4 linked regions of the Tribolium castaneum genome follow. The protein of the gene in region 2 purifies or fractionates together with the protein of the main gene of each other region. This does not show direct contact. Links are inferred from orthologs where the notes say so. Each region holds a gene or a part of one and is shown on either strand. Other genes may lie near its edges. The genes, in order: mrj, Stip1, Tpr2 and ATPCL.

Region 1 (7,566 bases), about 19 Mb from region 2:
CTACTTTTAAAAAGGCTGTTAAAAACAGGGGTAAGAAATGTTTAAAAACAAGTGTTCTGGAGGGGCCCTATTAGTTGTATTCACCAAAATTCAATAAGCTTTGATGAATAGTTTTTATAATATATAACTGTATCTATACGTTTTAGCGACCCTATACTTTTTTAATCTACTAAATTTCATCAAATTTATTAGACAGACTGATCTAAAAATACTGTGTCTGTTGTCAATACTGAATTTAATTTTGCAAGGACAACAATAGAGTGTGTTAACAACAATTCTATAATTTTGTGGGGTTGTATATACGTTAAATTAATGTCGAAGAAAACCAAATCCGATTGCAGTGTTGCAAATTACGAACAAAAATACTTAATCTGTTGCCAACAGATTGAGTTTTTCAGACTGTAAATATTACGAGTATTTTCTGGAAACCTGCTGGTATAATGAATTTAATGATAAATGGGTTCAATAGGCGTACCGTAAATGGGTGTCCCAGCACGGGGAAGAGCCGGACTTGCCCGGTTTGAACCTAACCCATGACCAGCTGTTTTTCCTCAACTACGCCCAGATCTGGTGCGGGTCTATGCGGCCAGAGGATGCACTGACCAAAGTCCGCTCCAGCGTGCACTCGCCCGGACCCATCCGGGTGTTGGGTCCTCTCTCCAACTCGTGGGATTTCGCCAAAGCTTACGATTGCCCGCTCGGATCGCCGATGAACCCGACTAATAAATGTAGCGTTTGGTAAAATGGGACTTTCACGCGCTCTATGTCAAGTGTCTCGTTGTATTTGCAAAAATTTAACACTTTCATCTATATTATCGCCGGGCCTTTGTAGCGGGGCCCACACCTAACTTGTGCAATGTAAATATTATTGTTTTATATAAAACTGTACGCAATTTTACATGTAATAAACCTACTTTTCCTATTCTAAACATGGTCTGTACTAATATACAAAGTATGTATTTTCACATTATTACTGGGTGTACTGTTTATTATTAAATATAATTTTTAAGATACTAACAAGAATTTTCTTCACCCGAAAGTAGGTAGAATCCAACGAAAAAATTAGTATATCTAAAAATAACACACATTTTTTACGAAAAATCTTCCGTAGATATTTAATTCGACACATAATCAAAATGCGGTTAATATTAACATAAACAAAAATTGACTGCTACTGAAGACACTAACATGAGATCGAAAATATACTCAATTAGAGCAAGCTGTGCCTGTAGAACTTTGGCCATATTTTAGCCGTTTATTTACGGCGGCACTTTTGAAGTTTTACACAGCATATGATCTGGCTAAAGCTTTCAAGGCTAGCTCTAATTGAGTATATTTTCGATCTCATGTTATTTAAGTCATAGAATTTTCACAACGCTCTTGACTAAACTTGCATTTAAACTCAAAATACAAAAAGCAAATGACAAAACAATTTTATAATAAACTTGTTACAACAGATTGGAAATACGTGGCAAAGTCATATGAAGATAAAAATGACCTAAAAACTGTTTCATACGAAGCCCTGCAAGTTGTAAAAATTTTTTTTTTGAGATTTACTAAGCCTTTTTAGTAAACACAAATCACCAAAATAACTCAAAATGTCAACACACTTCCACATTAGAAATAGAAGCTCAAAGCATTGTAGAGGGAGGATCAGCGTTCTGTTATCATTTTTTGCAAAAAGGTTTATCGAAGATGGAATAAAGTTACTGTATAGAAATTCATGTTAGTCACTCCAGAAAGCGAATAAATGCAGTCACACGGTATAATATTATCGTACTATTAGTCTGATTCATTTTCAACAAAAAAAGTAAATTTATACCAAATTTTCGCATTGAGGTTTGTGTTGTTTGCGTTTTCGCTATTAACACATTTCATAATTATTTTTTTCTTTTAATGGGTAGACAGGTTTTATCATTAGCATCATGTAGTATAAACCAAAATTCGTTTCTTATACCAAGAATCCTAATTCGCGTCTTATTTGACCTCAAAACTACCTATCATCCGCTGTTCAGGTTTTTGTACAGATTTGAAATGAAATTTAAGTTATGACTGTGATTAATGAATGACTAAGATTGTGTTATTTTGAAAGCCTTATTAATTTATCTGATGCTTCGAAAGATAATGGGTTCGTTGTTTCACCTTCCTTTATGTAAGTAGTTAGAGTGTGCAACCAAATTTTTACCATTTTTTTTATCTTTACTTTAATATTTATTGATTAATCTAAAAATTAACCCTCGGATAATAATAATAATATTATGTTGTAAAGAATTAGAAAGAACGTCTCTGAACTCTGAATGATTGTATTCCTGGCCTGTGCCGTTGCGAACCACCAAAACTTTGTCTAAATCTTACTGGACCCAAATGGTTCCCTATTTACTATCCTGAAAAAGCCCCAAAAAGCTGGCGAAACGTTGACAATAAACAATTTACCAAATTAAAGTGTGTCTGCATTCCCTAAATACCGAATTAGTTATCAGTTATCAATCAATCAAACAGACGATAAAAAACAACTTTAACTAAATCTTAAATATTGATATTTCCAAAACCATTGAATGAATAGACCTGATGTTTTCACTAAAAAATTATTATCTATAGACTTCTAAAGGCAATAAGTACAAGAACGTGGTGAAATTTTTAATATTACCACTCTGGTTTTCTACATTTCGAAATTCTAACAAGAGTAGTTAATTTTCGACAGCGATATGTTTAGAGAAACACGATTTTTTGAAACGTAATATTTTTACACAAAAAATCAACAATTCGAAAAACTCGGCACTACTAATAAACGAAGTTGTAAACTGTAGATAGCCAATTCGGATGGACACAGTGGTGTTCTATTGGACTGTAAAGGTCCCATTTGGGTGAGAACTCTGTTTTCCAGCTGTCTGTTTTGGTGGGATTAAAATAAAAAATGCGGAAATCGTTTATATTATATTTTTTCTAACACTGTGACTGTACATCTCTAAGCACACATTAATAGTATAATCATTTGTGTACTTAACAGTAATAGTAAGTGCTTGGGAAAAAACTAGCAAATTAATATTAAATTAAAATTAAAACGTTGCATAATACAAAATATCTCTTCCATGTTAATTCCTCCTTTGAATCAAGCTTAATAAAAAATGAGCAGTCTTGGCAAAAACAAAACGAAAACCGAACTTTTTCACATGACAAAAATGTAACTAGTAACTAAACAACTCATCCTGAGCACCTCTCGTTCAAGAGCGTCATCAATTCCTATCTCTAGCTAACCTAAACTGCAATGATGTAAAAACCTCCTCGATTCTTACATCATCATAACATCTTATTAAAAATTAAGATACTACAAAAATTCTGAAAACAGAATCATAATATTTTATTGTACAACTGAATAAAAAAAACTTGAAACCAGTTGCAAGAAGTCTTTAATACACACACTGACAATTTGGCAACACTGCGTGGCCAGAAATCGATCAACATCAAGATCACATAAATTGTAGATTCTTCTAATTTTGTAAGTAGCAGTGTGTTTAACTGTACGTCAGACTCTGAGGAACCCCATTCACAGTCTTCGATTTGAGGATATCGTTCTCGTACGTCATCACCGTCTCTCTCCCGTTCTCGTACACCCTGAAACCGCAAAATCACCTTCAAAATACCACCAAAAATCCACTACTCACTTCTTCGTGGTGATTTTCTTCCCGTTGGCGAAGCGCGTCGACGTTGACGTCCTCTTGACGTTGGCCGTGCCCCCCGCCCCGTTTGTAAACGTACTATTTATGGTGCTGAAGGAGGTGAATCCCCCATGGCCCGTATTGAAAAACTCGTCCATGAAACTACCCCCCAGACTCACCCCGAACGGGCTGAACAGACTCGAACTGAGAGCATTCTGTGGATGTGAATGTCTGTTCCGTCGCCGGTCTCTATGCCCGTGATCGTGAAAATCTACGACTCAAACTTAACAAAAAATACAAAACAATCTTAGGACGTACCTCCAAACAAGTCGGCAAGAGTAGAACCCCCGAAAAACTCCCTGAAAACGTCCTCCGGATCTCTGAAAGTGAAGAAACCGAAACCGCCAAAGTCGAATTCGTCATCGTGGCGGCTGCGACTACGACTACCGCCGTTGATGAGCCCTTCTTTACCGTACTGGTCGTACATACGACGTTTCTTATCTAGAAAAAAATGCCACAATGAATGGGGGCTACAACAAGGAGAAAAAGCTAACAGACGAGTCCTCAGAATCGTTGTGGACCTGCTCTAAGAGGGTAAAAAAGAGGCTAGAGTTAGAAAAACCGCAGATTTTAGTCGGAAAATGCCAAAATTAGTCATTTTAGTAGTACAGGCCGGAATTTTAAAGCAAATGTGCAAATTCATTACAAATTATACACTCTCTAAGAAAATCGAGGGGAGCTTAAACATTGATGTAATTAACTGAGTACGATATGAAAAAAAAAACGCAAAAAAAGGGCAAGAGAGAAGTAAATGTATACAGATTTGGGAAAAGCACGGACCCAAGCGGCCTACTTATCAAGGTATCTTACCAAAAAAATCGCGGTAGTAGGGTGCCATTTAAAATTGTTTTTTAATAACTCGAAAACTAAAAATAATTTCGAAAAATTTTATTCTTGAAAAATGATCACATTTTTAAAGTAGTTGATGAAGGACTAAGAAGTTGTTTTTTCCATAAGGTACGTACATAGTTAAGGCACAAAACGCTCGGTTCAAGTCTGTATTTTTGTAATTAGTTATTATACTGAATTTCGTAAAGTGTCAAATTTATTTAAAAGCTAAGGCTCATGAAAAGTCAACTTATTTAAATTTAATAATTTCTTTCCTATATTTTTCTTGTATCTTTCACCATATTCGCAACGTTTTGAAAAGTTTGAGACAGAAGCAACTTTAATTTTTTTTCTCATGTTTTTTATGAAAATTTTGGTCAACTTACTCGTATTAAGAATTTGATGCCCAATGTTCCTGCCTTTTTTTCCAAGTAATTAGTGAACTAGTTGAATTTAAACCAATTTAACACAAGCTTTCGCGGCTAGTACCAAATAAAGAATTGGGTTAGACCGCGTTAATTTGAAACCCAGCGTCGACGTTTCACCCGCTCTTCAGGAGGGGCATCTTCAGGACAATGTCGACACTGATTTCCAAATTAAAACAGGTCTAACCCAAAAAAACCTAGATCTTTAAAACAATTTAAATTCGAAACCCGAAGCTTTTGAGCACAGAAAATTGACTTATTTTTGATCTTGTTTCTCCTCCAATTATTATCCAGCTGTCTATTAGTTTAAAAGCATTGGCAACTTAAGTAACAGTTTTGTCTCAAATTATAGTGCTAGAACTGCTTATTACCTTTACTTATACAATAACGAAAACCGATTTTCTATATCCGCGCTTTAAGTTAAATTATTTCAATTTCAATTATGTCGTCATAACCGCCTCACGAGTATTTAGTCCAATTTTAAGATCAAATAATTTTGAGTAGGATTTTGGATTGGCTAAATGACACTAACCATTCATCAAATGTGTGCCAATGGTTTTTGTGCAACTTTTTTGAACTCAAGATAGGAAAAAGAGTCAATTTTTGCTTTTACAATATGTGAAAAAATGTTACATGTTTTAGGAGCGAGTTCTGTGAAGAGAGACAATTTTTGTGTACTTTTAATCTGTACCATCCTAAAAAAACTCGGTCAGTTTCAATAATTCGCACAATTTGAATCTTTTCAAGAAACAAATAAATACGAAATCGTAAGTTTTTACGGATTAACTAAAATAACATTTATTGTTTTTACACAAACAATTATTATTATCTTTATCAGTTCTACCTGCATACAGGTCTCTCAATTTTATTGTTCTAGAACTTCTAGAAGCAATCATAATCTACGAGTAAAATTACACATAACCAAATATGGTTACAGATACTAAAAACAAATATAAAAAAGTAACTCATATGTCTCGTGATTATTGGCTTTGTCGTTATCAATTTTGAAATTGTAAAATGATGAAAAACCAACACATTTATCGTGTACGATCACACTTTTAAGGAGAAATTTAAAAACAATTACCTAACGAGGAAAAAAGCAATTTCCCACAAGAGCACTCTGTTTGCTGCACGAGCGCAACGAGTGCTGCATGAAGTGCGAATGTGAAAAATTACTTTCCAAACAAGTTAAGTACAATATTTTTTGTAACAAATCTCTCAAAAAAATAAAATAAAAATTAAGATTTTTTATAATTTAGTTCTTTTACTAATGGGTTGGGAACAGGTTAAACAATCAAAAAATTGACATGAACTGTCACTTACTGTAAAAAAATAATCTTTTCCATCTCAAAGGTAGCGATACCAACCTAATAAATGTCCCTAGCCATAAATAATAAAAAAATGAAAATTCGGTTTCTAGCAAGTGTTTTTCTTTTTGGAAATTAATTTTCAAATAGTTAACCCTGGTGAGTTAACATCTTACCAAAATTGCGAGGTATTATTTATTAACACCGAGGACCGTCAGAACAGTTCCAGAGACTGTAACACTACCACACTATTTTATCAAAAACTGTGCCAGAAAGTCATAACAGAAGCGAAATAGAAAAACACGAGTACCTACATATACGATGCGTTCAAAACAAAAACAAAAGAGTTGCGATATACTCTTTTGATTCTGACTGAGTTACAATTGTTAAGTTAAAAAATATCACTGAAAATGTAGATAGTCGACTTTTATTTACTCGCGTCTCGCCTTTTTTTGTAAATTTCGTCTTGGTGAATAGTATCATTATACCCCCATTGATTAATTAGAATGTTGTAATGAACTTTGCACATTTTGTTATTGTTGGAGATGAGAAAAGGGCCCGTTTAGCACACTTTTTTGTATCTACCGAAATAACGATGAAAGGGGGTATGAGTGTCAAAGTGACTCCTGTAGGACCTCGTTCTTGTACTAGTGGACCTATTCGAGCGGTTGTCGTAAATTTTTCGTTTCGAATCTAAATTACCCGAAAAAAATCAAAATCAAAAGTGGAACCTAAACACATCCAACTGTATGTCTACAACTTCAAGCGGACTTACCATCAGAAAGAACTTCGTACGCTTCGGAGATCTCTTTGAACTTCTTTGTGGCGTCCTCGATGTTGTCTTGGTTCTTGTCGGGATGCCATTTCAAAGCCAATTTGCGGTAACTGCAATTGAAAGTTAAGGACGTTTTGGCACTCACGAGTTTAGAACTTACGCTTTCTTAATTTCAGCAGTCGTTGCGTTTTTTGACACCTCGAGGACTTTGTAATAGTCCACCATTTTGGTGCCACTGGCGTCCTTATGCCCCAGCTTTAAGGAAGGTTACTGAAACAGCAACAAAACTCTTATCTCTCTCATTTGAATCATCTGATATGATTAGATTACCGTCCAAACAATACACATCACAAAAGCAGCAATGAGAAATTTTATGACAGTCGTATCGAAACGACAAGCAATTTTGAATTTTGTCACATAGCACTCTCGACCGAAATTACAAATTCAAATCGAAATGGGAGCGTTCCGAATCAATCACCGACCGCTTTTTCACCGTAATAATAGAGATTTCATAA
Region 2 (8,478 bases):
ATTATTCAAGAATTACGCAATTTTACAAAAAATACAAGGAGCAATAGAAATGATTTTCTAATTTTAAAACCAAGCGTTTTAAGAATTTGTTCAAATAAATTTTAAATTTTTGATGATGATTTCTAAAATAAAGTGTAAGAATGTTGTAATAAATAAAATTTTAATTAAATGATCCGCGTTTATCTGAATTTAAACGATTTTTCTTACAAATTTGAAGTATCAGGTGAAGAAAAAGTAAAAACCGTTTAGATAAAATAAAGACTATTTGTTCTTGTAATCAAGTGTCAAATAGCCGTCAGGTTGGCAATACATTAGTAATTTTTGGGTTTAAGATTGGTACAGTTTTTTAATTTAAATTTGTTACTTTATTTTAATTTTTTTAACTTACGGACGGGAAAAGTTTGATGTAAATTTATTAATTACATAACACTTTTCTTAAGAAAAATTTGCCAAGAATTACGTAATTAAAAAAAATATACAACTAAAAAGCAACAGAAATCGGTCAAAAATGCAGAGAAATTGTTAAATCGTTATTTTTTATTTTAAAACCAAGCATTTAAGGGTTTGGTCAAATTTCTAAATTCCTGGTGATCATTTCTAAAATAAAATTTAAGAATGTTCTAATATATAGAATTTTAATTTCATAATTCGAGTTTATATGAATTTAAATGTTTTTTTTTACAAATTTGTAACATCAGCTAAAGAAAAAATAAAAACCTTTTAGATAAAATAAAAACTATTTACTCTTGTAATTAAGATTGACACTTTTTTTATTTAAAATTTGCTACTTTGTGATTTTTTTTAATTACATTCAGAGAAAATTTGACCTAAATTTATTAATTACATAACCACTTTTTCTTAAGTAAAATTAGTCAAGAATTAGTCAGAGAAAATTTGACCTAAATTTATTAATTACATAACCACTTTTTCTTAAGTAAAATTAGTCAAGAATTACGCAATTTTAGAAAAAATATATTTAACTAAGAATTTTTAGTAGAACCTAAAAATAGTAATTACAACGAGTTTAGGGATTTTTTTTAAACAAGAAAACATATTAGTTATGTTATTATTGGATTGGTAAGAACAAGAGGGCATATTCTCTTTTATCTTCTTAAAAAAAATAATTAGCGAAAAGCATAAGTCCATATTTATGAATTTAGAAGTATGCAATAATTTTGTCACAGAGTTGTATTTAACAAAAAAAAATTTTTCATAAAAACTAAGGATTACAAAAAAATGGTGTAAATTTGTAAAACTGTGCATGAAAAAATAAACAATTCCTGGATAATCCCGTAGTTTGTTTAAGTAATTTTCAAATTATAGCAATTTGTTTATAGAGAATAAATTAAATAAAGGGTCGGATAACTGGCGATTCATGAAGTAATCAATTTATTGTGTTAGCATGTCATCGTAATTCGAAAGTTTTCTTCGAAACAAACAAACAAATCGTTTAAATGGAACTATATTACAATTTTTTTTTGATAATTTCAAGAAAAATGGATTGTTTTTGACGCAAAAATTCATTTAACTCAAGAGATTTAAGCAACACAAGCCAAAATTCTACATTTCCACAAATTAGTTTTTAAGATATTGTAAAAAATACTTTTTCTAGACTCAACCTGTATATTCGAATGCCGGAAATACAATTATATAACGAAAAAGTTTGAGTCTTTTGAACAAAAATGTTTTGGAGCAACAAATTCACATATTTTCAGAGATCTCGACAAAATAAATAAACAAAATTTAAAAAAGATAAAAGTAATGTAACTAAAGACAAAGCAAAATAATTAAAATAAAAAATAAAATAAAATTACTGACATTTTTTTTGTTCTTGCCGTATTTTGTAAGAAGCAATTGCTTTTTATTTAAGGAACCGAATGATGAAGCCCTTCGTATAAAATTGTCTAAAACAACTTGCTATTTTATGTGTATTTTTTTAACTTACAGGCAGAGGAAAATTGACCTGAATTTAATAATTAAATATCCACTTTTTTTAAGAAAAAATGTCAAAAATTTCGCAATTTTAACTAAGGAGCAATAGAAATGATTTTCTAATTTTAAAACCAAGCGTTCTAATAATTTGTTCAAAAAATTTTTAATTTCTTTTTTAAAATGTTCTAATAAATAAATTTTTAATTAAATGATCCGCGTTTATCCGAATTTAATCGATTTTTCTTACAAATTGGAAGTGACAGGAGAAGAAAAAATAAAAACCGTTTGGATAAAATAAAGATATTTGTTCTTGTAATCAAGTGTCAAATAGCCATCGGGTTGGCAATACCATAATTAGTATTTTTTGGGTTTAAGATTGGTACATTTTTTTAATTTAAATTTGCTATTTTATGTTTATTTTTTTAATTTACGGGCAGGAAAAGTTTGATGTAAATTTATTAATTACACAACACTTTTCTTAAGAAAAATTTGCCAAGAATTACGTAATAAAAAAAATATATACAACTAAAAAGCAACAAAAATCGGCCAAAAATGCAGATAAATTGTTAAATCGCTTTTTTTTTTAATTTAAAACCAAGCGTTTAAAGGTTTGGGCAAATTTCTAAATTCCTGGTGGTAATTTCTAAAATAAAATTTAAGAATGTTCTAATATACAAAATTTTAATTTCATAATTCGAGTTTATCAGAATTTAAATGGTTTTTCTTACAAATTTGTAACAACAGCTAAAGAAAACATAAAAACCTTTTAGATAAAATAAAAACTATTTGCTCTTGCAATTAAGATTGGCACATTTGTTTTATTTAAAATTTGCTACTTTGTGATTTTTTTTAATTACATTCAGAGAAAAATTTGATCTAAATTTGTTAATTACATAACCACTTTTTCTTAAGTAAAATTAGTCAAGAATTACGTAATTTTACAAAAAATATATATAACTAAGAAGCAATAGAAATCGGTAAAAAGTGAAGAAATTGTTAAATCATTTTCTAGTTTTTGGTGACAATTTCTAAAATAAAATCAAAAAATGTTCTAATAATTAGAATTTTAATTAAATAGTTCGCGTTTATATGAACTTGCAATGATTTTTCTTACGAATTCGAAATGACAGCTGAAGAAAAAATAAAAACCGATAAAAAAAGGGCCGTATGAATAAAATTAAGTAAAAGCTTTTACTTCAAATTTTGCAAGTAAATGCTCTAAATTGTATGAATAAAAATGTAAGTATTAACTGTTTCAAAACTATAAAAACGCCAACGTCGCATTTTCTTTAAAAACTAACTGTCATAAATTATTCATGCACTTCAAAAAGTTAATAGATAATGTAATTTGTGGATTCAATGACAAATTATTAATAATTACTTTACAGTTTTATCAACCTTATTTTTAAAAATAATTTAGTAAAATGCGAGGTTGGTGTTTTTATAGTTTTGAAACAGCTAATAGATGTTTCTTTATTTAAAATTTTTGGTAATTGAGTAAACTTTTTTATTACTTTGAAATTCGTGTTTTTATTTAAAAATTGATCATTTTAACAAGGAACCTGAGCATGTTCACTTGCTCAATAAATAGAGCCACACATTATGCAATTTTACCAACTTGTTTTCCATCGAAAATTAAAACTTACCAATTTCCTTCTCTTTTTCAGCTAATTCTGGATTAACATAAGCTTTCCGTTCCTCTTCTTTGATAATCTTCTCAACATCGGACAACAGAGTTTTAATTTCAGGCGTCCTATGTTCGGACATTGACTTTTCGTAATAAATTTTCGCATTTTGATAATCCTTTAGTCTCTTATACGCATTCCCAATCCTAAGAAACGACTTTGCAATTAATTTAAAATCGGCTCTATTCTCCCTCCCTATATCAATAGCCCTCTCGCACTCCTTAATACATCGATCGTAATCCTTCTGTTCGAAAAAAACCGCCGCCAAATTATTATAAAACGTGATATCGGTGGGATCGTGTTCAATCGCCTGATTATAAAACTCGATCGCTTTTTCAAAATTCTTCTTTTTGTAAAATTCATTCCCTTGTTCCTTCGCCGCTTTCGCCAGTTTCTTGTTCTCGGGTAAGTCCGGCTCGGGTTCTTTCTTCGGTTCGGGCTTCTTCGGTGGCGTGTACACCGGTTCGGTCTCCATCGGTTCTTCCCCCGGATCGATTCCAATCAAGACACTCAACGTGGTCAAAATATTGGGGTCTTGTAGTTTCTGGCCGAGGAGATTGGGGTTTGTTTTGAGCATGTGGAGCGTCGCGACGTAGTTGGGGTCATCGAGCAGGGGCTTGGTCCGGGGGTCCCCGCGAAGCTTCTCCATGAGGTCAGGTCGGTTGAAAGGATTGGGGAACCCCTTGGCTGTTTTCTGGGCTTTGACCTCCTGCAGCCCCTCCTGGAGCTGGGGGTTGGCGGGCTCGATCTGCAAGCCGCGCTCGTACGTGGCGATGGCCTCGTCCAGGCGCCCCAGGTAGGCCAAGGCAGCCCCCTTCCGCGAGTAGCCCTTGGCCCAGTCGGGCTTCAGTTCGACCGTTTTGTTGGCGTCTTCGAGAGCCGATTCGTGGTTGTTGGCTTTGGCAAAGGCGGCGGAACGGTTGGAGTACAGGACGTGGTTCGAGGGGTCGAGTTTGATGGCTTCGGTGTAGTGTTTGATTGCCTCTTCGAACTTGTTGGCGGCCAGTGCGGCATTGCCTTTGTCTTTCAAAGCGGCGACCTAAACGAAACATCGTAAAAGGATTTTTGCATTAAATAAATGTGTACTTACTTGTTCCATTTTGACCGGCACTTAATAATCACAAAAACACGTTTCTCGACGATTCTTATTCGAGAAGTTTCCAGTCATTGAAGATTCCCCCACCACACGATCTGTCAAAAGGGATATATTTTTTGACATTTTCAGACAATTTATTAATTAATCAAGCGTAACATTGTTTCAATTACATTATTCTACTAGTGAAAGAACGTACATAACGGTAATTTCATTGAAAATAGTTTTTTAATCAAAATTAAAAAAATAGTGTATTGTTGGTTGCCTGTCTCGGTACACGATAGTTCTGTTATTGTCACCAGAGTGCGCAGTTTTCAGAAAAAATAAAAACAAGGCAAACAAAATTAAATATAGGCAGATAGAGCATTAAGGCTAAAGAGGACAATAGAGTTAAACCCAATGTGCGATAAATAGCCCAATCAAATTAGACAAAAATGGTGGAAAAACTCCTAGAGAGTAATTTTTTTAAAAGCTTCCTTTACATTTCGTCAGACATATACCAAAAGTCCCCGAAGATGGGGGGGCAAGCTCGAGGAAAGGGAGGGGTTCAAACTGTTTTTTTTGTTTTTTTTTGCTTATATCTCGAAAACGGTCACCCCTAGCAATTTTTATCTTCTTATCAAAATTAAAGTAGATAAAATTTCCTACAAAATGGTCCTAGCCTTATTGTTGTATGACTAACCGTAAGCGAGCTACTAGCTTTTGAAGTTTGGTATCAACATGACATTGTATAACTAAACATTAGTATACCATAAGTATTTATACAGGATCACTGAAATATGGATACAGTTAAATATTATAAAAACTATTAATCAAAATTTATTAAAATTGGGCATATGCTTAAGAGTATATAAATTGTATCGTTTCAGATGTTTATTAAATTTATATTTCCATTTGTTCTTCGGATACAAGGATAACTTGATTTTTTTGAATAACAACAAGGGTCAAATTAATATTTTTGAAAAGAGCATTTTTTCTGAGTTCTATGGTATAACACATGTATACCTTAATTTAATCGAACCTTAAAAAAATTGAAAATTTTGAAAAACGTAAAATTTTATTAGCCTTGGAAATGTTGTCTTTATCTCTCGTTAGCTCATTAACCAAAAAATAAGCAAAAGTTAAAAATAATTGTTAAAATATCACTATTAATTGAAAAAGAACACGTTTTAATTAAGAAATTTTAAATACGGAATACTTGATTTTTATGGTACATAGTAAAAAAAATTTTTGTATTAAAGTTATTGATAAATAACTAATTTTAGATAAATGATATGTGGCAACGTTGTCTAACAGCCATGATCGCAATAGAATTTGAGCAACAATAAAAATAAATTATTTTTGAAACGGTTTCCTAGGAAATAATTCCCAGTGTTGTCACATCTACACATTGTGATTTTTTGGATGAATTTTAATTTTTTAAATTAAAAAAACTGCTAAAATCTGATAGTAAATTTAAAAATAATTATTCATCGTTTTGTTACGGAACGATTACTTACTGTAAAACATAAAAACATTAAAAAATAATAAAAATTGAGGAAGTTAACAAAAAAAGTTTGTGGTTTGAGATTTTTTAAAATATGACTTTAGGATTTTTTTCAAGATTTTTCCCATAATGTACACATGTTTCTCAACAACGTACTACTGAGTTGGTGCGCCAGTTTTTGAGCATGCTGTATAAAGGGTCTCCCACCTAAGCTAAGAGTGGGAAATAAGGGAGAAAAATACTTTTTTCCCTCGGGCTCTCCAGATGAAGACCACAATTCAGCATCTGAAGATGACCCACATTTTATACGATTATTTTTTTCCAGCTCTATAACTCGCTTATGGTTAGTCCTACAAGAAAAATGCTTTTTATTGGCTTTAATTTTGATCAGAAGACAAAAATTGATAGAAGTAACAGTTTCCGTTAAAGCAAAAAACCAAAAAAAGACTGCTTTAACCCCCTCCCCCTCCTCAAGCTCGCCCTCCAACCTTGGGGACTTTTGATATATGTCTACCCAAGTGTAAAGAAAGCTTTAAAAAAAAAAAACTCCAACTCTCTAGGAATTTTTTCCACCGATTTTTCTAATTTGACTGGGCTAAAAAACAAGTAGTAATAAAATTTATTTTACTATAGACTGATCCAGAAATACAGAGTCAGTTGGCAATAGATTTGAAAGTATTTGTGCTCGTAATTTGCAAAATTGCAACCGAATTCGATTTTTTTTGACAATTATTTGACGTACAACCCCACAAGAATGTTAAATTGTTGTTAACAGAAAGCGTACTCTATTGATATCCTTAAAAATTTAAGTTCCGTGTTGCCAACAGACTCAGTATTTCAAGTAATAGTTTTACCTAAAACAAGTAGTAATAAAATTTACTTTTTTATTTTTGGCGATATTTGTAATCCAATTTTAAATCGATAAAAGGAATTGAGTGTTTTAAATAATTAGAATTTGAGACAACGTAACACTTATTTGAAAAAATTGTTTTGATATTTTTTTATTAAAATTTTAAACAAATATTCATAATAATTTAAAAAACGTAGGGGAAGATGTACTGTGATGACATGAACAGAACAGAACGAACAAAATTAATAAAATTAAAATGTTCAATCATAAAACCAACTAATTTCAAAAAAAAATAGTCAAAAACTACTTTTGTTTTTGAACATTTTAGCACTGAAATTTGTCGGTTAAATTATTTTGCTTCTATTTTATTTTGCTTAACCATTTTTTAGGAATAAACATTTTACTGAAACTTATCTTTGATTTTTTCAGATTTTGTATTTTTTGTATTTACCGTAAGAAGATTTTGTTTAATACGTATTTTGGACATTTAATGAACTTTGGTTTTGACTTTAAATTTTTGTACAAAATATTATTTAAGCATCGTTTGTTTTAGAATGACAGTTTGAAGAATTAATGTTTTCATATTTTAATTTTATTAACACTAGTATTAATATGTATTTTTATTTGAATTATTGATAATAATTTTATTGTATGGAATTGTAAAAAAAATCACAAAAAATACTCATATGTACATAAAGAAAATAATAAATCATTTTTTGCAAACGCAAATTTTCACGTGAGTTTTTGAGATACAGAAGAAAATAGCTTTTTAATACCAGTACTACTCGTAGTTATGTAAAAAAAAGTATAAAAAAGGGACAAAACCAATCATTACTAAATGACTTCTAGATATCGGGGTTAAGTAAGTCTTTTACAGCCCAAATTTTCTTCAAATATACAAAACTTTATGTAGGACTTTTTTGTAAAGCTTGTTAACAAGAATAGACCCAAAACGTAAAATACAGACAAATGCTTCTCTGCCTAAATAGCAAACACACATATTTTTTTGTTAGATACTTAAAGTTAAGTTTTTTCTATATAACTGAAAATATCTTGCTGGTGGCTAATACGTACGCAGCTGCTTCCAAGAAATGCCTAATTGTAGAAAAAATTAAATAACTTCTGAATGGTTAAAGCAAATTGCATAAACTAAACTTATTTATAAAGCCTAAAAACGTGCAAAATTTAATATGTACAAATATACAAGGAGTGCCATTAAAAAAAACTCTGTTAACGGCTGCACTCTAACCTGTATAGAGCAAAATAATTTTAGAACGTGCAATTTGACTTCCCATTTGCAGTGCCATTTGATTCATTTCAATATCTTTGACAGTGTAGGTGCAATCGAGCACCCCGTATCAATGACTCACCCTGTATATGAGTATAAGTATTATTTATAAGAATACTCTTGCACATTTTTTGTAAAGTGTAT
Region 3 (8,689 bases), on a different chromosome or scaffold from region 2:
CGAAAGCTTCGACGAAGACAAAGTGAGCATCCAGTACGAGAACGAAACCCAAAAAGTCAACGTGAAAAACGTGCGGAGTTTACCCAGACCGCCTCCGCTGAGGATGATCTCCCAGGAAGATTTACTGGACGCGCAAGGATATCTGTTAGCGAACGAGGTCAAGGAACCTGTACAGTATTTAGAGACTTTACCGGATTGACAAGGACATAAGAAGAAGAAGAATACGGTTGTGTGGGCAAATTCGATTAAAATGCTGGGCGCGAATGTGTGAAATTTGTGTGGATTCACTTGCTGTATATATGGATATGTAGTAGTTTAATTAAATTATATTTTTTTAAAAAACAGTTAAGGTGGGGCAAAAAACAACATTAGCAATGAGTAGAGTTGGGACAGGTCTTTGAAATTCAGTTCTTCACACGCAAAATTGCTCTCAACGAAATTAAATACCCTGCTCATTATTTGACAATACTTGACTGAACTACTTAACTTAAAACGTAAAATACTGACAGGGTAGGTAACTGTTTAATCGAGTGCCTTATTTATATTACTGAGTCCGTTCATTTTGTGAGAAATAGGAAAGCACTAAAATGTACCTAAAAAAATCGTTCTCAACTTTTTAACAAATCAAGAAATACGAATCAAATGTCTGAGGTGTTCTAATGGTTTAAATATTTTCCCCAAAACAATGACTTCTAGAATCTTCACGTGTGAACGCGTACTAAATTGTAACCGATCGATAATCCTCAGTGTTGTTAAAGTAACAAAGGTGTTAATTTGTCCTTTGTAACGGGTGTTTTCGAATATGTGCCAAATAATTGCAAATAAATCGGTGTCTTTTATTCCCCTCCCCCAATACAAACCAAAGACTCGAGACTATCTCCGATAGTACGACTGATGTTAAACCTTACGAAATAATTAATTCAATGTTATTGCGACTGTATCGAATTTTATTGTAAATAAAATATTAAACCAAGCGATTTTTCATTCATCAATAGACCCGTGCCACTTGTCACTTTTTGTCAACTTCAAATCGAAACTTAAATTTATCTTAATGAAAAGCACCCTGAAATGGAAACGCGCAACGGCCATCTACCCCACCGACCACATAATCTCATCCAAAGCACGCGAAGTTGGAACGTGGGGATTTAAGCCACAGTATGAAAACGTACGTAACAACACTCGTACTCCAATTCCTCATAATTTTCGCCAAACAGGTCACAAACGTGAATTTCCGCTTCTTAATGTCCAACGAGTATATGCGATTGTGGTTCAAGGAACGCGATCTCTACCAGAAAGAAAACTATTCCAAGCAAGAAAAAGCGCAGAACGAGTCGAGTTTAAAACGCGGTTTTGTGCAAAGGATGAGGACAAACACCACGCTCGAATCGAGAGAACTCCCCGTAATCCAGCTCAAACGGTTTCAAAACATTATGTCTAAAGTGGACACGAGGAGGAGCACAGACGAGAAGGCAAAAATCTGTCAACGATACAAGAAAACTATGGAACCCGTGCAACTCTCGCGGTACAAACCGAACTGTACAGTTAAACCTAAAACAATGACAAACATAGATAAAAGTCAAAAATCAAAAGGGAAGAAGAAAACGCCACGAGAGGACGCCGATTCGGGGGACAATCAGCCAGGAAAGTGTGGACTTGTATGTAAATTAATAAACTGATAAAGTATTATACATATATTAAATTTACATTTGGAACGATTTACAATAATGAAACAAGAAAACTTGTGCAGTCTTCCTCAAAATAAATAAACAGAAGAGGCATTAGGAAAATAAACGGGTTAAACTTTAGGATTTGTTAAATCTAGCACAATTTACTGTCAAGAAGGAGTGGAATGTGAGGGGCTTTAGATTATGACTTAGACAGTACACCAGGCTCCTAACTGAACTGGAAAGGAAATCCCGTGTTAAAACTGAAATCATTGGGGCAACTGTGCGCTTGTCCAAAGAACGACTGAAACACTTGAGTCGGGTCAATATCTGCAAAAAACCTCCATCACCCCTATTCCAACCCAAAAAAACCGCCATACCTGACATTCCCCCATCGAACTCATCCATGTCTTGCCCACTATCATACCTGGCCTTTTTCTTCGGATCTGACAAAATCCCGTATGCCTCCCCCAGCTCCTTAAACTTCTTCTCCTGGTCTTTTTTAACGGCGTCCGTAGCGTTGGCATGCCTGTCCGGATGCAACATCAACGCTTTCTTCCTGTAAGCTTTCTTAATCTCGCTATCGTTTGCGTTCCTCTCCACTCCCAAAATCTTGTAATAATCCTTGCGTTTGGACTTTTTGAGTGCGAATTTCGCATCTTGGAGCAACTTGCGGTGCTCACGACTTTTATTCAACTTGCACACTTTTTCGTAATCCCGGACTGCGTCCTCGTACTCGCCCAAGTCCATGTAGCAGCTCGCCCTTCGCAGAAGGGCCTTGAGATACGTGTCGTCGAGTTCAAGGGCCGAAGTGCAGTCATCGACGGCTTCTCTGGTTTTGGTGAGCCGGTGTTGGACTGTGGCACGGTTGAAGTAAAGTTTCGCGTTGGCCTTTTTGTTGAGAGGGTCGATTGCTAGTGCTTCGGTATAAAGAGTGAAAGCTTCCTGGAACCGGCAGTTTTTATACGCTTCATTGCCACTTTCCTTCGTCTTTTTGAGTTCTTTAGCTCTCTTGTAGATGTCCATAGCCTTTTTGTGGTCGGGTGCAAGTCGCAAGACTTGCTGGAAGTGGTTAAAGGCGCTGTCCAAATTATCTTCGTAATAAAGACACATTCCCCGTACGTAAATCGCATCAGCGTTTGTTTTGTCCAAATGCAAGGCCGTGTTGGCGATTTCTTGCGACTCCTGGTATCGTCCCAAGAAAGCCAAACATTCGGCTTTCATTATTTTGTAACGTGTGCAAGTTGGCGCTTCATCCAAACACCTATCCATGCAGTAAACAACTTTTCGGAAGTCTTTCTTTTCCATTGCTTTTGCTGCCTCTGTTTCGAACTGTCTCAGTTTTTCGAACGAACGAGTTTCATTGTTGATGTTGGCGTTCTTGTCAAGCAGATTGATCTGTTTGATGGCATTTTCTGCTGTTGTAAGGTCGCCAAGGGCTATAGCGCATTTCAATATTCGAATGTAGCCTTTGCTGAATGCGGGATCGATGGTTATGGATTTGCGTGCATCCTCCAATGCTTCTTGAAAGTTGTTCAACATCATGTAACATGCCGAGCGGTTCGAGTAATAGGCGGCGGTTTCGGGGCATAGTTCGATGGCTTCGGTGTAGAGATTGAGGGCAGATCGGTATTGCTTGACTTTGTATAATTGATTGCCATTTTCTTTTTTCAATTCGGCAAGCCTGAAACAAGCACGGCTTTCACAGGAACAACGCAACTTAAGTGTGACCAGAATGAGTGAAAATTGCCTTTTAATGGAGTGAATCACGCTATGAAGACAGAAAATTATAGGAAAGAACTGGGGAAAAAACGAATATTAACAATGATATAACGGAAGTTCACATAACTACCAACTTATCAAATTTAATAAGAATTTGGCTGAGTAACTAACGATGTTAACAACCTATTAAAAACAATTAAAAATAACGACCCAAACAAACATAAAAAGCTTACTCTACTGTAAACTTTTTCTCTCATTTTCTTCTGTCCGTTTTAGTTTGGTAGTAGTTTGCCATAAGACAAAGAATAAAATATTATTTTACCTAGTGCGGGGTCTGAATACAAAATATCTTAAATAATTAAGTAGGATAGAAAGGACTTGAGGCATTAGGAAAAAAGTTAAAGCTGAAATACGAAGAACTATAACTTAGGAGACGAAACGAGATACAAAATCGTACGATTTTCTGAACCCAAAAAAATAGTACGGTATTCGTTTTCAATTAATTTAAATCCAACCAATTGAATAATTACTTGGAGATTTCCATAAGAAACATGAGAAAAAAATATTTTTTAAAGATAAATTAAATGGGAAATTTTATCAGTTTTAATTTTGGTAAGAAGATAAAAGTTGATAGGAGTAACCGTTTCCGAGACAAAAAAAAAACAAAAAATACTTCTTTAACCCCCTCCCCCTCCTCAAGCTCACTCCCCACCCTCGGGAACTTTTGATATAATTCTACCCAAGTGTAAAGAATGCTTTAAAAAAATCCAACTCTCTAAGAATTTCTTTGTTTAATTTAACTGGGCTAATTCACTAATCTCCGAGACAAGGAGCAACAAACAATATTGCAGAAACAATATCTACACGTGAACCAGTAAATGACCTACCTACCAATATTACCCTAATTTCATGCGATTTGAAACGATACTTCATTAGAAGAAAATATTAACTTTTGTTTTTCTAATTTAGTAAATATTTAATCAATGAATTGATCTGATTTTCATTCGTGACTAAGCAAAAATATAGAACAAACTAGCCAATTAACATGCTAAACTGTGAAAATTTAAGGGCCATAAATCGTTGTTACTATAGCAACAACCAATAAAATTGCTAGATTTCTGATTTTAGGGTGGATTAAATTTTAACAGCCCTTTAAAACTTATAGCATGGACCTCAAAGTCGTAATATTCTGACGAAATAAAAACCTTAGTGGATAAAAATTCGTTACACATCCAGATTAGGGTTTTTTGAATTGGGTTCTCTTCAACTTTGATCACAATCATAGTCACAAATAGAGTTTGTAAATAAATCACATTGTTTTTATCTTATCAAAAACCAACACTCGTGTGGTCAATGTTTATTCCTTCGGTAGGTTACATTTGTCGTTAATAAACAACAAAGATAATCCAATTTAAAAGTGAGAACCTTACAGTTCTTATGCCCATTTATGAGGTAAACAAATTCAAAAACAACACTCACATATTGTGGCAATCCTCAACTTCCATGGTCTTTCTCGTTACAAATTGGTAAAAACCGCGAAAGTGTCACAGTGACAAGTTAGGAGAAATAATGCAAAGGCCATAAAATCCACGTTATAAATAAAATAACTGTCCAAACAAAAGGTTAAATTGTTAATTTGCACGCCGGACCAAATATAAACACTGAACTGTGGAGGAGTGAACCAGTAATTACAAAGGTGTACGACCTTAGATTAAAAATAACCCACGGAAATCGTTAAGACTGCACAAATCAAATTTAAAATCGCACCAAGTGGTTCACTGAAATAACCGAATCAATAGCAATTAATTGTGGGAAATTGCAGTAACAAATGTGAGTCAGTGACACTCGTGTCATCGACATTTCGACGTGAAACCCCACGAAAGCAGTGCTCAAAATCGAGGAATAAATCTAATTGTTGTAAAATAGCACTTACTCGGCTGGATTTTTTGGAATTATCAAATCTTCAGAGTCCATAACAACATCTTCCCCAAAATCTGCCATCTTGCACAAGTTGTGAAACGAGTAAGACCGATTCATCACCGAATTCAAAATTCGTACTGTGGGCATGCGCACTAGCTAATTTGTGACCAATCGATAAATTTTCACCAACGCGGGAATTTTGAAACGAAATGAATGGAAATGCGTTTGACAGTATCGCCTTCAACGCCAACAAATACGAAATCGACATTAAAAACTACTTCGTAACGCGCCAAGAGGACGACAGTACTCAGAGCGACACTTCGGACTCACAAACGGACCAGTACTTGGCCTGTAAAGGAGTTAAACTGCCAACTGCGGAACCACACATTTGCACCTGGGATTATTTAACAAAACCTGAAGTGATCCACTTGATGGGCATTAAGAGTAAACGACTCAAGAGGAATTTCATTGGTAGTAATATTACAATCGTTTAAAATTTGCCAAGTTTTCGTTGCAGAGGGAAAATTGCACAAAAAGCCCAAGGGACTTCCCCGGATCATATTCAGGGAGTTGATGTACTCTGTGACTAAATTCTGCACGTCTGCCAGTTACACCGTGGAACAAACTGGGGCCTTGTTGTCACAGTTCTACCTAACTCATTTATTTTTCACCAGTGTTTTGGATGTTGGTCCTGAAAAATTGTACGAGTATTTTAAAGGACTGCAAATGTGTCATTCTCTACCAGTAAGTGATGGGGGTCAAGTGTGGGTAAAAACTGTATTATTTTTAGTTCCCACCACATAGTATCAAATTGTTTAATTTGGAACAAATTAAGAACAATATGGTTTATTTCTGTAAACTATATCTTAGAAACCTGCCCTTGGTCAGGTTCTTGTGTTTGCCCAATTTTTCCCTATGTGCCCAACACCGCGTACAACCAGACGTCGCTCCACGTAAAAAAGGGAAGAAAAAAGGGAAAGGCAAAAAGGGTAAAAAAGCAAAAAGAAATGATCTATGAAATACATTTATTGAGCTATTCTAATTGTTTTATTCTTTGTTCGAGTTGTGAAACAAGGGTGCTTTGATGTTGGTTCAACTGCTGATGTATTGTAGTGGCTGCACTGTTGAGTGTTTGGACCAAAGCTGCTTGAGCTGTTTGCAAGTTTGGTATTTTTTCCAGTTCAATTAATTCGTCTTTACTCACAAATTTGCCCTCAAATATGGCAGCTAAAGGCATAATTAATTAAAAATAACAAAAACTGGATTATACAATACCTAGTAAGACAAGCTGGGGAAACCTTTTCGTGATTTTTAGCAATTTCTTTACTTCCGGTTGCGGACTAAAGACCATAATGTTTTGCGAGACGTAAAAATCCAAAACCGGTTCAAATTTCGTATCCTTGACTGCGATTTCAAGTGTTTTCTTTCCATATTGTTTAAAAAGCATGTCGCTTTTTTTGAACATGGCATAGGCTTTAAACCTTTGGTCTGATTTCATTGGATTCAAGTGATAAAAGGCAATGAGTCGCGAAGTGTTGAACCACATTCTCAATTCGCCTGCAATTATTTGCTGATACGGGTTGTGTTCATCTTTCACAATTTTATCTTGCGATTTTGTGCACAAGTCAATGGGTGTTTTGCCCTTTTTAGTACTGATAAAGAATGGATTCGTTAGTGTCATCATAATGGATCGTTCGCGATGAACGGGTTTCGGCCGCTGGATATTGATTTTGCCTCTGAAACGTTTCGCTTGGACAAGGGGGCTCAAACGTTCGAAAAGGCCTAAAACATTCATTTCAAAAACAAGCTAATGCATTATTAACTGTGTCATTCACCTCCTCTGGCAATTAAAGCCATTGTTTTAATTAAATTGGACAAAATTTCTAAAAACTGGTGCAGGGGTACATAACCTATAACTGTCAGGTTGACAATCGTAATTTTGGTTGCATAAACAACCGGCGTTAAAAATCAATAATAAGAAAAAAATTAGAAAAGCACCGGATCAGGATCAGTTCTCCAATGTGGCTTAAATTTCGATGAAGTGGCGTAATAAGTGAATAATTAACCGATTTCCGAAGGCTAAATGACCGTGAATGTCGCCTAGCAACTTGCGGCGACGTCCAGCGTCTTCGGCGTCGTAGCATACGATGCTTTCTAAATGCCACAAGAAAGGTAGAGTTTTCTTTCATCCTAGTACCGGTAAAGAATATGAATGAAGTCCAATTATTTCAACGTGCAGGTGAGTCAATTTTAGTCGTGTGTAAACAATTCCGAAAAAATGATGTTCGCAAATCGATATTACGAGCGCTTCCCATTTCTCTATGAATTTTTAAAATAAAACTAAAATCAATTTCAGATAATTGCGTTGTTTATGCTTTCGTTGATCCCATGGCCGGGGCCCACAGTTTTCAAAATCTCGTGTCCGCGAGATAATGCCCGAATCGTGCGGAAAATAATCCAGAACAAATGGATACCGATTTTAGAAAAATACAAAGTCAGTCTGCCCATCGAGTGCCCCTTCCACCCCATTAGGGACATCTTCGGGCCCCAGCAGGCCGCCAAACAGCAGCACCGGCCCTCGCAATGGACGTGCGGCCTCTGCGGCAAGTCGTTTTTCGAGGAGAAATACCTGGACATGCATTTCGACAATCGCCATAAGGGTTTCATAAATATGGTACAAAAACAATTACTATTAAGAAACTGAAAATTTTCTTGCTTTGACCGCGTTTTTCCAGGCCGAAGACGCCGTGTGCCTTGCAGACTACTGCGACATTATGAGATGTGACGTCTTGATAACGCAAGACCCCAAAACCGTCTATCCAGACACCGTCAACACGGATATAGAAATCTGGCGCGAAGCTTCCTCGTACACCAAAGCCTTGGCGACGTCCGGCCCACGCGAAGTCGCCAAATACACCTTCAAGGATGGGATTTACCCCCATCTGCAAAAAAGCGGAAAAGCAACGAAGCCCACCAAGCATTGCCAGAAGAATGAAGCACCGGAAGCGCCTAATAGCAACGGTAAGGTTTTTTCGATTTTTCTGATTCTTCAAGTGGGTTTTAGAAGAGCGCCAATCTGCAGGCGACGACGATAAATTGCAGAATAGTTCGAATAATGTGTGTCAAAATGATTTGGTGGATTCGGCTTTGCCGGCACCGGACAACAGGCAGCAGAGAATAGCCGAACTGCAAAAGTTGAAAGCGAATTGTAAACCGGAAGAACTGCAGAAAATTAAGACGAAGTGCGAGATTTTGGTGCGCGATTGCATCGCGGGGCTGCTAATTCAACTCTCGGTGAAAGATTTTAAAGAAGTTGAAGGTAAGAATTTACATGTTTACGTAAAACTTGAAATTTAGTATTTGTATGTACGTACGACGAATGA
Region 4 (8,037 bases), on a different chromosome or scaffold from region 2:
TATCACAAAATTGGTAAATATTTACAAGAAATTACGTCATCCCCTCGACCAATCAATAGAGGAAAAAGTTAAAAGTGTCAACCAAACCACCAATAGAACAGAAACAAAACACCACAGAGACACCAAACAAAAACATAAACAACTCACTTGTATTTTCCTACTGCAAGCGGCGGCAGCCGCCACCCCCCCATCCACCCCTTCCACCCCCAAACTCTTCTTATTCGGCTCTTTCTCACCACTGGGCAGCAAAAAATTAGCCGTTGCAAATTCAACGTTATTCTCCTGTGGAATGGGGCGCGTGCCCAGCGCCATGCCACAAATGGCCGTCATGTGTGTCTCAGGCCCGAACACGTACAGGGGAATCCCCAAAGTCTGGCCAACCTCCCTCATCCGCCGCAAGCCCTCTTGATAATTCGGTCCAGCTCTCCGGACGAAAATCGAGACTTTGTGCTCGATCAAACGTTGTTGGAACTCCACCAAAGCGGTGATAATACCGCGAAAAGTCGCCGCCACATTTGTAAAATTCGCAATCCCACCCCCAGTTATCAAAACTTTACCCTGGGGGTGCTTCTCTTGCGTCATAAGCGAGAGAATCGTCTTGGCATATTCGTAGGTTTGTTGTTCGGAAGGCGCCCCCGAATATTCGCCATAATTTGCCAGCTCTTTGGCGCCCCCTAGATCGCAAATCGTGTCGCTGTAAATCACGGAGGCGCCGCCCCCAGCCACCATTGTCCAAATCCGTCCCGATTTATTCAAAATTGTGAGCTTGAGACTGGCGCCCGATTTTGAATCAAGGTCGGCAATGTAGGCCTCCTCTACAATAAAAATTAATTTTTTGTTTTTTGAGACACCCTGTATGCAAGAATTGTGTGCATAATATTTGAATAAAAATAACTCGAGAATGATTATTTATAATTCAAGGTCGCCAAACATTGATAACACAAAAATTAACCATGGTAACAATTTTTATCAATCGAATCATCACTTTATTAAAACAATAAAAATAGAAGGCGATACGGATCAATGATGGATGCATTATCGTAACGTGAAATGAAACGAAATTCGAACAAACAAATCCACTCGAAATCATGCTTAATTCAAAACGCTTTTATTGACACAATAGAATTTATAAAAGTAATTTTCTTGTCCAGTGACACAATATCGGAATAATATATGTGGTATTGTTACAATTGCGAGTATTATATCAACGTGTGGCAACGTGATTTAATACATTTTTTGCCTACTTTACATAATTTCTGTTATTAGCCATAGTTAAAAACTGGTTAAAACAAATATTTTTCGTAAAAATAAGAAGCAAAAAAACACGATTGTTTTAGCAAAATTTCGTCAAAAATAAACCAAAATTTAAAACACAGCAACACAGCCCATAAACACGTTTTTGTGATAAAAAAATATTGAAATATTTTGTTTAAATTGAAGGTGGGTAAAAAAGAACTATTCAAACCAGAAAATTAAAAAATATAAAGAAAAAATAAACAAAACTGGTTCAAAAATTCAATAGTTTTTTATTTTTTTTAAATGCGACATTTTGACACAAATAATATTTCTTACGTCATTTTTAATTATTGACAGATACACATCTTTATCTTTCTGAAAAGTACAAAAAAGTTCAAAAAAATAAATAAAAAAACTTAAAAAAAGAAGAAAATAAAATAAAAAAGTTATAAAAATTATTGAGAGTATTGCACAAGGAACTTTATCTTTTTATTTTGGCTTTGTTTTACAAAGAGTGTTTGTTTATTTTTGTTTTTGTTTTTGTATTTAGGTGTCATATATTAAGTGTTTTCATGCAAATTGTACAAAAAATTATAATAAAAAACAATTGCCGCCTCATGTCCATGTTTAATGAGCAATTTTTTTTTCATAATTTTTTAATTTTTAATTTCATTTTTTTCTTATTACCAGGTAAAAGTAAAAAAGTGTACTCAGTGAACAAAAATGTCGGTTGTCATTAAAAAAAAATAAGAATGACATCACCACTCAAAAACAAATGACATCATAAATGGCTCTATAATGTCAAAATAAAGTATTTAAAAAAATAAAATCTAAGTGCTAGAAATTTTTTTTGAAAAATGACTATTGAGAAAGCTATAAATTTTGTGCGTTACTTTTGATTAAGTCTGTATATAGTAATTTTGGATGGCTTTAGAAACAAAACACATAAATATACTAACGTTGAAAAAAATATAAGAAATTAATAAATTTTATAAACTAGAAGTAAGATATTGTAAATTAAAAAAAATCTGCAAAAGCATGAAAAATAATTTTGTGTATTTTTTATTAAACTTTTCTTCCCAGTAAAAATTTTTATCTCGATACTACTAATATCTCAAAATTTTTACAAAAAAAAACACAAAAATAAAAAATAGTGTCGTTCAAAATAAAATAAAAAAAAAAACAATGGCAAACCAATTTTTTTAATTTGGTTAGTTTTCAACTTTTTTCTAAAGAATATAGCATATATTTTTATTTATTATAACAGTACACCAATTTTTTTGTATTTTTGGAATACCGCAGCTGACTAGACCGTCTTAAGTCATAGAATTTTTTTCATAAAATTTTGAACATTAAAGTGTTTTCATAAAAAAACTATCGAATTTGCCAATCCAATGATAATAATAACAACGATTTTTTCATACTTCACCTAAACTGAGCCAAAAAAATCGTAAAAAATTCGAACGAAAATTACATTATTTTTCGTTTTGCGAGCGATTGGGGAAGCTTTTCTATCCAAACAGCGTATGTTTTTTTTAAAAGCAATTTTTGCATCTTTCGAGCATTTAAGCACACTTTAAAAAAATTGCTAAACCGTCCAATAATTCCAAAATTGTAGACTAAAGTTCGTTAAAAATAAGTCAAAAATAAAGTAAAAAGTCTGGTACTTAGGCGTTTTTCGAGCAGTTACGCACATTTTTCAGCATTCAAGTGGTAATTAAAAACTTTCTCATAAAAAATTTCCCATTAGTTTACAACGCAGAGCAATCAAAACGTTGGTAAGTGTCGAAATTGATAACAAAACATGTGGGGTACAAGTTAGCTAAAAGCTAAAAAGTTGAAATAACTTGTAAACAATTTTTTTTTCAAATTTACTTCTAGATAAAAGTAACCAAAAAATTATATTTTGCATAAAAATTTGCTCAAAAATATACATTTGAGTTAATTCTTCGAAAAAATTTCAAAAAATCGATTTCTTTACCTACCGACTGCGCCCAACCGTTGTGTCTTTTAATACATTTTCATTGTCTTACAACACGAAAAATTCGAAAAAAAAATAAATATATGGAAAAAGAGTAACTAAATAATTTCTTAACTGTCAGAAATCTAAGATCCCCGATTATCCACCACACACAAAAAATTCCAAGTAAGTCAGGCGGCAGTCAAGTCTCAATTAATTAACCAATTTATTAAAAAACCAAAAAACAAAAAAAATTCCTACCGACTGCGCCTAACACTATACTTATTATGTTAGACACACTGTATTTCTCAAACAATTTTTGACTCACCTGGATATGCATCACGTCCAAACGGCGGCGGATAATCAATCTCGCCCCACATTGGCTTACAAATAAAATCAGCCGTAGCGTCCAACTTAGCCGCCAAATCCAAAACATAAATCTCCTTCTGGGTGACGACCAATGGATTAATTTCCAAATAAGTAAAATACAAATCAACGTACAACTTGTACAAATTATTCACAAAATTCGCAATCATCGCCTTTTTACTCGCATCAACTTGACTCAACAAAGCCTCCGTGATGCGCTTTTCATCGACACTTTCACCCACAGGAACCTCCAATTTCACAGCTTTCGAATCAACATCACCGATATCAACGCCACCTTGATGATAAAACAGGATCGTATCGCCATGTCGGTGCGAATAAATACAAACATAGACTTCTTCGTTGTCTTTGTGAGGAACAAAAGGTTCGATGATAAAATTGCGAAGTTTGCCGGTGGCGGCACCGATTTTTTGCTCTTTGTTCATACGATCGCTTATCCATTGCTGCACTTCGGCTAAATCTTTATTGACAGCGATCAAACCTAAATAAAAAAATATATATAGTTTAAAAAGTTTGAAGCACTCGCTACGCTCGTACCTAATTTTCCTCTCCGTTTGATAAGTTGGTCAGGTTTCACAACCAACTTTTCGCTTTTCAACCATGGATGTGTGGCCACTAATTCGGAAAATTTCGTTTCGGGTTCGACCGAAGCGAAGCGACATTGCACAGCGGCGGTACCGCCAGGTAAGTGTTTGTTGATTAGATTTTTTCCGGTCGCTTCTCTTATTGCCTTCGCCGACATTTTTCTAGTTTCTAATCAACGAATTGATAAAAAAAATCAATGTTATTTAAATATAACAACAATGTTGTCTATAAATAAATAAACACATAGATAACTGAACTAGTAAAAAAAGTCATAGTAGAGTTATGTATTCTCTTCTATAAATAGTGACAATACAAACGAACAAAACAAAAATAGTTGACGTCATGTTGTTATCTTCCATGTAGTTAATTTGTTTTGTGTTAATGGTCGAAATTAAAAATAAGAGAATGTTTATTACTGTTTTAACTCATTTTTTGTCATTAAACATTTTTTATGTTGTTGTAGTTTTTGATCAATAATTTAATTAAACACATAGTCAAATTTTCGCTTCTTTGTAACCAAATGTCAATCTAAATTTATAGCAAAAAGTATCATATGATTTTTTTATTGTTTGTTTAAGTTGGCAATACTGAAGTTTTTTTGGCAAATACAACCACAATAAAATAGTATTAGTGTTTGTAAATCAGAAATTATGTTGGTCACATTGAAAAATGTAGAAACAAAAGATATGGCACTTAAATGCCAACTTAATTTTAAACATAAAAAAATTAAAATTCAACTAAATGTCAGTTTCAAAATTCTTTAAAACGTATACAGGGTGACTCTACTAATAGCACATTTTAGTATTATATCTCAAAAACTAATAATATCTAATAATATTAAATACTTTATTTTTTCACTGTCAGTAATTTTTTTCTAGAAGTGCATATAATTAAAATTAATTAATTAATATATAGCATGACAGAGTAAAATATATTTTTACACAATTTATTTGAATTACTTTTAAAATATAATAAAAATCTCCCAAATATCAAAATATTTTTATCTAGAGTTGGCAACATTAAATTGGCAACTTATTTGATAAAATTTGATTGTGAAATTTGGGTGATAAAAGCAAGTTTGTCAACTGTAAATAAATTTATATCCAGTGATCAAGAATGACTTTTTGGGTTGGTAGTACTGAATTTGGTTTTTAATTATTATCTGACACTTCAAACTTCAAACAGTAGTTAAAACATTAACCTAAAAATTGTCATTCAAAACCGTGTTCATTCAGTATATTTTTTTAAATGGATTTTAATAATATGTATACAGAGTGAACCAAAAGTACCAAAACCAAAAATCCTTAAACAGGTCGATTTTATTATTTTTAATGCTACATTTTGACACCACAATGACATTTCTGACGTCATACGTTTTTGAGTAATGACGTCATTTTTAATTTTTTTACATATTTCTATCATTCCGGTAAGTATAAAAAAATAAAAAAAAAAGAAAATAAAATAAAAAAAGCTTTATTTTTTTCCGTCCTTCCATATTTTGTGTTAAGGTGTCGTATTAAATGATTTTATGCCAATTTAGAAAAAAAATACAAAAAAGTATTGCCACTTATAAAATAAGTCAAAAAAATCGATTACGCTTAATTATCAATATATTTTTTATTTTATAATTTTTTTATTTATAGTTTCATTTCTATATTTTTTTTCTTATTACCATAAAAATACGTACTATCAAAAAAAAAACAAGAATGTCAGTTGTCATTAAAAAAATTAGAAATTAGAATGTCACTGTAAAAAAATTAAATCAAACTTTTCTTTTTTTTTAATGACTATTTACAAAGATATAAATTTTGTGCTCTATTTTTGGTTCAGTCTGTATAATTAGATGTAGAGTCACGATTAAAAATAATGCCACACCGAAGCCACAAATCTTTTCGGTATGTGTGTGCGTTTGGACAGGTTGGTAGAGGTGTCATTCTATTTTATTGTGACTGTACAGAAGGCCAAAAAAAAATATTTTAATCAAACGAAAAGTGAAATTTAAATTATTGCTTAATTAATTAATATTTGGATGAAAATGTGTCAAATTAATGAACTTGCACGCACTCCAATTACACATTTGCATTTCTAGTTATGCACTTCCGGTTTCACCGGAAGTAACCATTTAAGAAATGTGAGAGTTGCCAATTATCCACAAATCAGTCTTCCATTAAGAAACACTCATAAACGAGTTAAATGCTTCACCCTGTATTATAATGCGATAATTTTGTAGTTACCGTAACTACACGAAAAAAACTACAATTTTTAATTACATTTTTCCATCAATTACGATAATTACGAAGAGAAAGTCACTCAAAAAAGTTAACATGAGCGTCAGTAATTCATTACTTGTGTCGTCGCGAAGAAAAAAATTGTTTTCGCAGTTGATAAAAAATCGAAAATTGCATAGTAATAATACGTAGCGTCAGCTATAAATAATTAATAATCGACCTAAATTAACCAATTGTTGCAAAATTTTCGGCGGGATTCACTTATGTCGACTTTCTAATTTCGGTGAAACTCGGATGAAAATAAAGAAAAATCGAACGCACACCACATTTCGAATGCGTTGACCTTGCCCTTATGAAAAATTAAAAACTGACACATACCACACACACACGTACACGTGTAATGTTTTCAAGTAAAACCGGGACTTTACCTTAACGTTTCCACGTCCACCAGTGCACTGCACCACTCGAGATGCGATCTCTCGTTTAATATCGCGTTGATAAGGAATTTGTGTGATAAGAATATGACACGGAGAAAGTCACTCCAAGACTGACCAGATTCCAGCAAATCGCGTGAATGAAGTATTATCGTACGATGTGTGTTGGGGGGACGACCGGATTGTCCCGACGTTGAATTTAGAGGTCATTGAAGACCTTTTCTGGGCCTATTTTTGACGAGTTTCACCTGGTTTTGATTTTTTTTTTTTGAAAATTTTGGGAAATTTCGTTAGGTTGGCAACCTTGCGGTATACAGGAGGTGTAGGAAATGAAGGTCGGGGTCGGTGGATGACACCACTGCTCGGACGCGTGTTACGAAAATGTCATCGATTATATTTTCAAATCACGCGATTTATTTTTACTATTTGATCAGTATTTTTGCAATTTATCGCATGTCACTAGGTAAACAGCGGTGCTTGCTGTGCAAATAGGGAATTTTATTTGTTGTGTGAACATTATTTTTTTAAAATCGGCCCAAAAATATTGTACTCCCTTCGCCCGTGCTGTAAACTATTTCTAAAGTAAAACATAACAGTAAAGTTTCTTCATGTGGGCTTTATATTTTCCAGACGTTAAGTAATCAACTATTTCGAAAAAGTTTTTTGATTTTTTTATACACTTTTTTTTAATATTCTTGCTGCAAACAAATATTGTTCATGTGGGCATTTATTTTTCCAAAAGCGTTTGGTAATCAACTATTTCGAAAGAACAAAGCGAACGTCATTAGGTGAAATTCTAAAGCATGTATTTCGGTTTTTATATTTTTTTTCAAAAATTTTGGTAATTTTTCAATTCCTCTGAAGCAGAAAATCTCAAATATCTCCGAAACTATCAGACGTGGCTCTTGAAGTTTGGTATTTTTGAAAAGCTCAACTAATTTCCCAACTTACGAAGAAAAAAAAATAGAAAAAAAAGGCACAAAAAATAACCGAAAAAATTTAATATATCCCTCGATAACTTCAAAACAAAGCAAAATTTTCGAAATTTCTCGACGCCAAGCGATTTGTCGAAACGATTTACGTACATATAGCCCAAAAAACTTTATTCTGGGTTTAAAATACGCACCCAAACATAAGAAGATAAAAAAAGGGCACAAAAAATAACCCAAAAAATTTAATATATTCGTCGATAACTTCTAAAGTAACCAAA

What was found.
Region 1: the proteins of Stip1 (region 2) and mrj purify together in Homo sapiens (affinity purification with mass spectrometry; 3 studies listed by BioGRID and IntAct, with this or other methods). This does not show direct contact. The link is inferred for Tribolium castaneum from reciprocal best matches to the Homo sapiens genes STIP1 and DNAJB6.
Region 3: the proteins of Stip1 (region 2) and Tpr2 purify together in Homo sapiens (affinity purification with mass spectrometry; 4 studies listed by BioGRID and IntAct, with this or other methods). This does not show direct contact. The link is inferred for Tribolium castaneum from reciprocal best matches to the Homo sapiens genes STIP1 and DNAJC7.
Region 4: the proteins of Stip1 (region 2) and ATPCL fractionate together in Homo sapiens (co-fractionation; 3 studies listed by BioGRID, with this or other methods). This does not show direct contact. The link is inferred for Tribolium castaneum from reciprocal best matches to the Homo sapiens genes STIP1 and ACLY.

Annotation. Positions count from the first base shown.
Region 1 is NC_087395.1:20,015,479-20,023,044, reverse strand, and holds the end of mrj (dnaJ homolog subfamily B member 6), read right to left. Parts: exon of another isoform or gene 7,382-7,566; intron 7,322-7,381; 5' UTR 7,277-7,321; coding exon 7,212-7,276; intron 7,162-7,211; coding exon 7,052-7,161; intron 6,970-7,051; coding exon 6,862-6,969; intron 4,158-6,861; coding exon 3,975-4,157; intron 3,928-3,974; coding exon 3,663-3,927; intron 3,613-3,662; coding exon 3,513-3,612; 3' UTR 2,922-3,512; downstream 1-2,921. Other genes in the region: Nep1 (neprilysin-1), read left to right, coding at 470-742. UniProt on the Homo sapiens protein: Has a stimulatory effect on the ATPase activity of HSP70 in a dose-dependent and time-dependent manner and hence acts as a co-chaperone of HSP70. Plays an indispensable role in the organization of KRT8/KRT18 filaments.
Region 2 is NC_087395.1:1,456,288-1,464,765, forward strand, and holds the start of Stip1 (stress-induced-phosphoprotein 1), read right to left. Parts: upstream 4,815-8,478; 5' UTR 4,717-4,814; coding exon 4,708-4,716; intron 4,657-4,707; coding exon 3,579-4,656; intron 1-3,578. UniProt on the Homo sapiens protein: Acts as a co-chaperone for HSP90AA1. Mediates the association of the molecular chaperones HSPA8/HSC70 and HSP90.
Region 3 is NC_087398.1:7,328,691-7,337,379, forward strand, and holds Tpr2 (dnaJ homolog subfamily C member 7), read right to left. Parts: upstream 5,454-8,689; coding exon 5,320-5,453; intron 5,004-5,319; exon of another isoform or gene 4,892-5,003; coding exon of another isoform or gene 4,866-4,891; intron 3,349-4,865; coding exon 2,045-3,348; intron 1,995-2,044; coding exon 1,894-1,994; 3' UTR 1,677-1,893; downstream 1-1,676. Other genes in the region: tyrosine-protein kinase transmembrane receptor Ror, read left to right, coding at 1-199; uncharacterized protein LOC103313090, read left to right, coding at 5,516-5,777, 5,824-6,050, 6,097-6,324; mRpL10 (large ribosomal subunit protein uL10m), read right to left, coding at 6,340-6,533, 6,582-7,088, 7,142-7,163; uncharacterized protein LOC658204, read left to right, coding at 7,519-7,545, 7,663-7,980, 8,042-8,327, 8,371-8,625. UniProt on the Homo sapiens protein: Acts as a co-chaperone regulating the molecular chaperones HSP70 and HSP90 in folding of steroid receptors, such as the glucocorticoid receptor and the progesterone receptor.
Region 4 is NC_087401.1:14,141,765-14,149,801, reverse strand, and holds part of ATPCL (ATP-citrate synthase), read right to left. Parts: intron 6,983-8,037; exon of another isoform or gene 6,822-6,982; intron 4,334-6,821; 5' UTR 4,323-4,333; coding exon 4,118-4,322; intron 4,062-4,117; coding exon 3,525-4,061; intron 816-3,524; coding exon 148-815; intron 1-147. UniProt on the Homo sapiens protein: Catalyzes the cleavage of citrate into oxaloacetate and acetyl-CoA, the latter serving as common substrate in multiple biochemical reactions in protein, carbohydrate and lipid metabolism.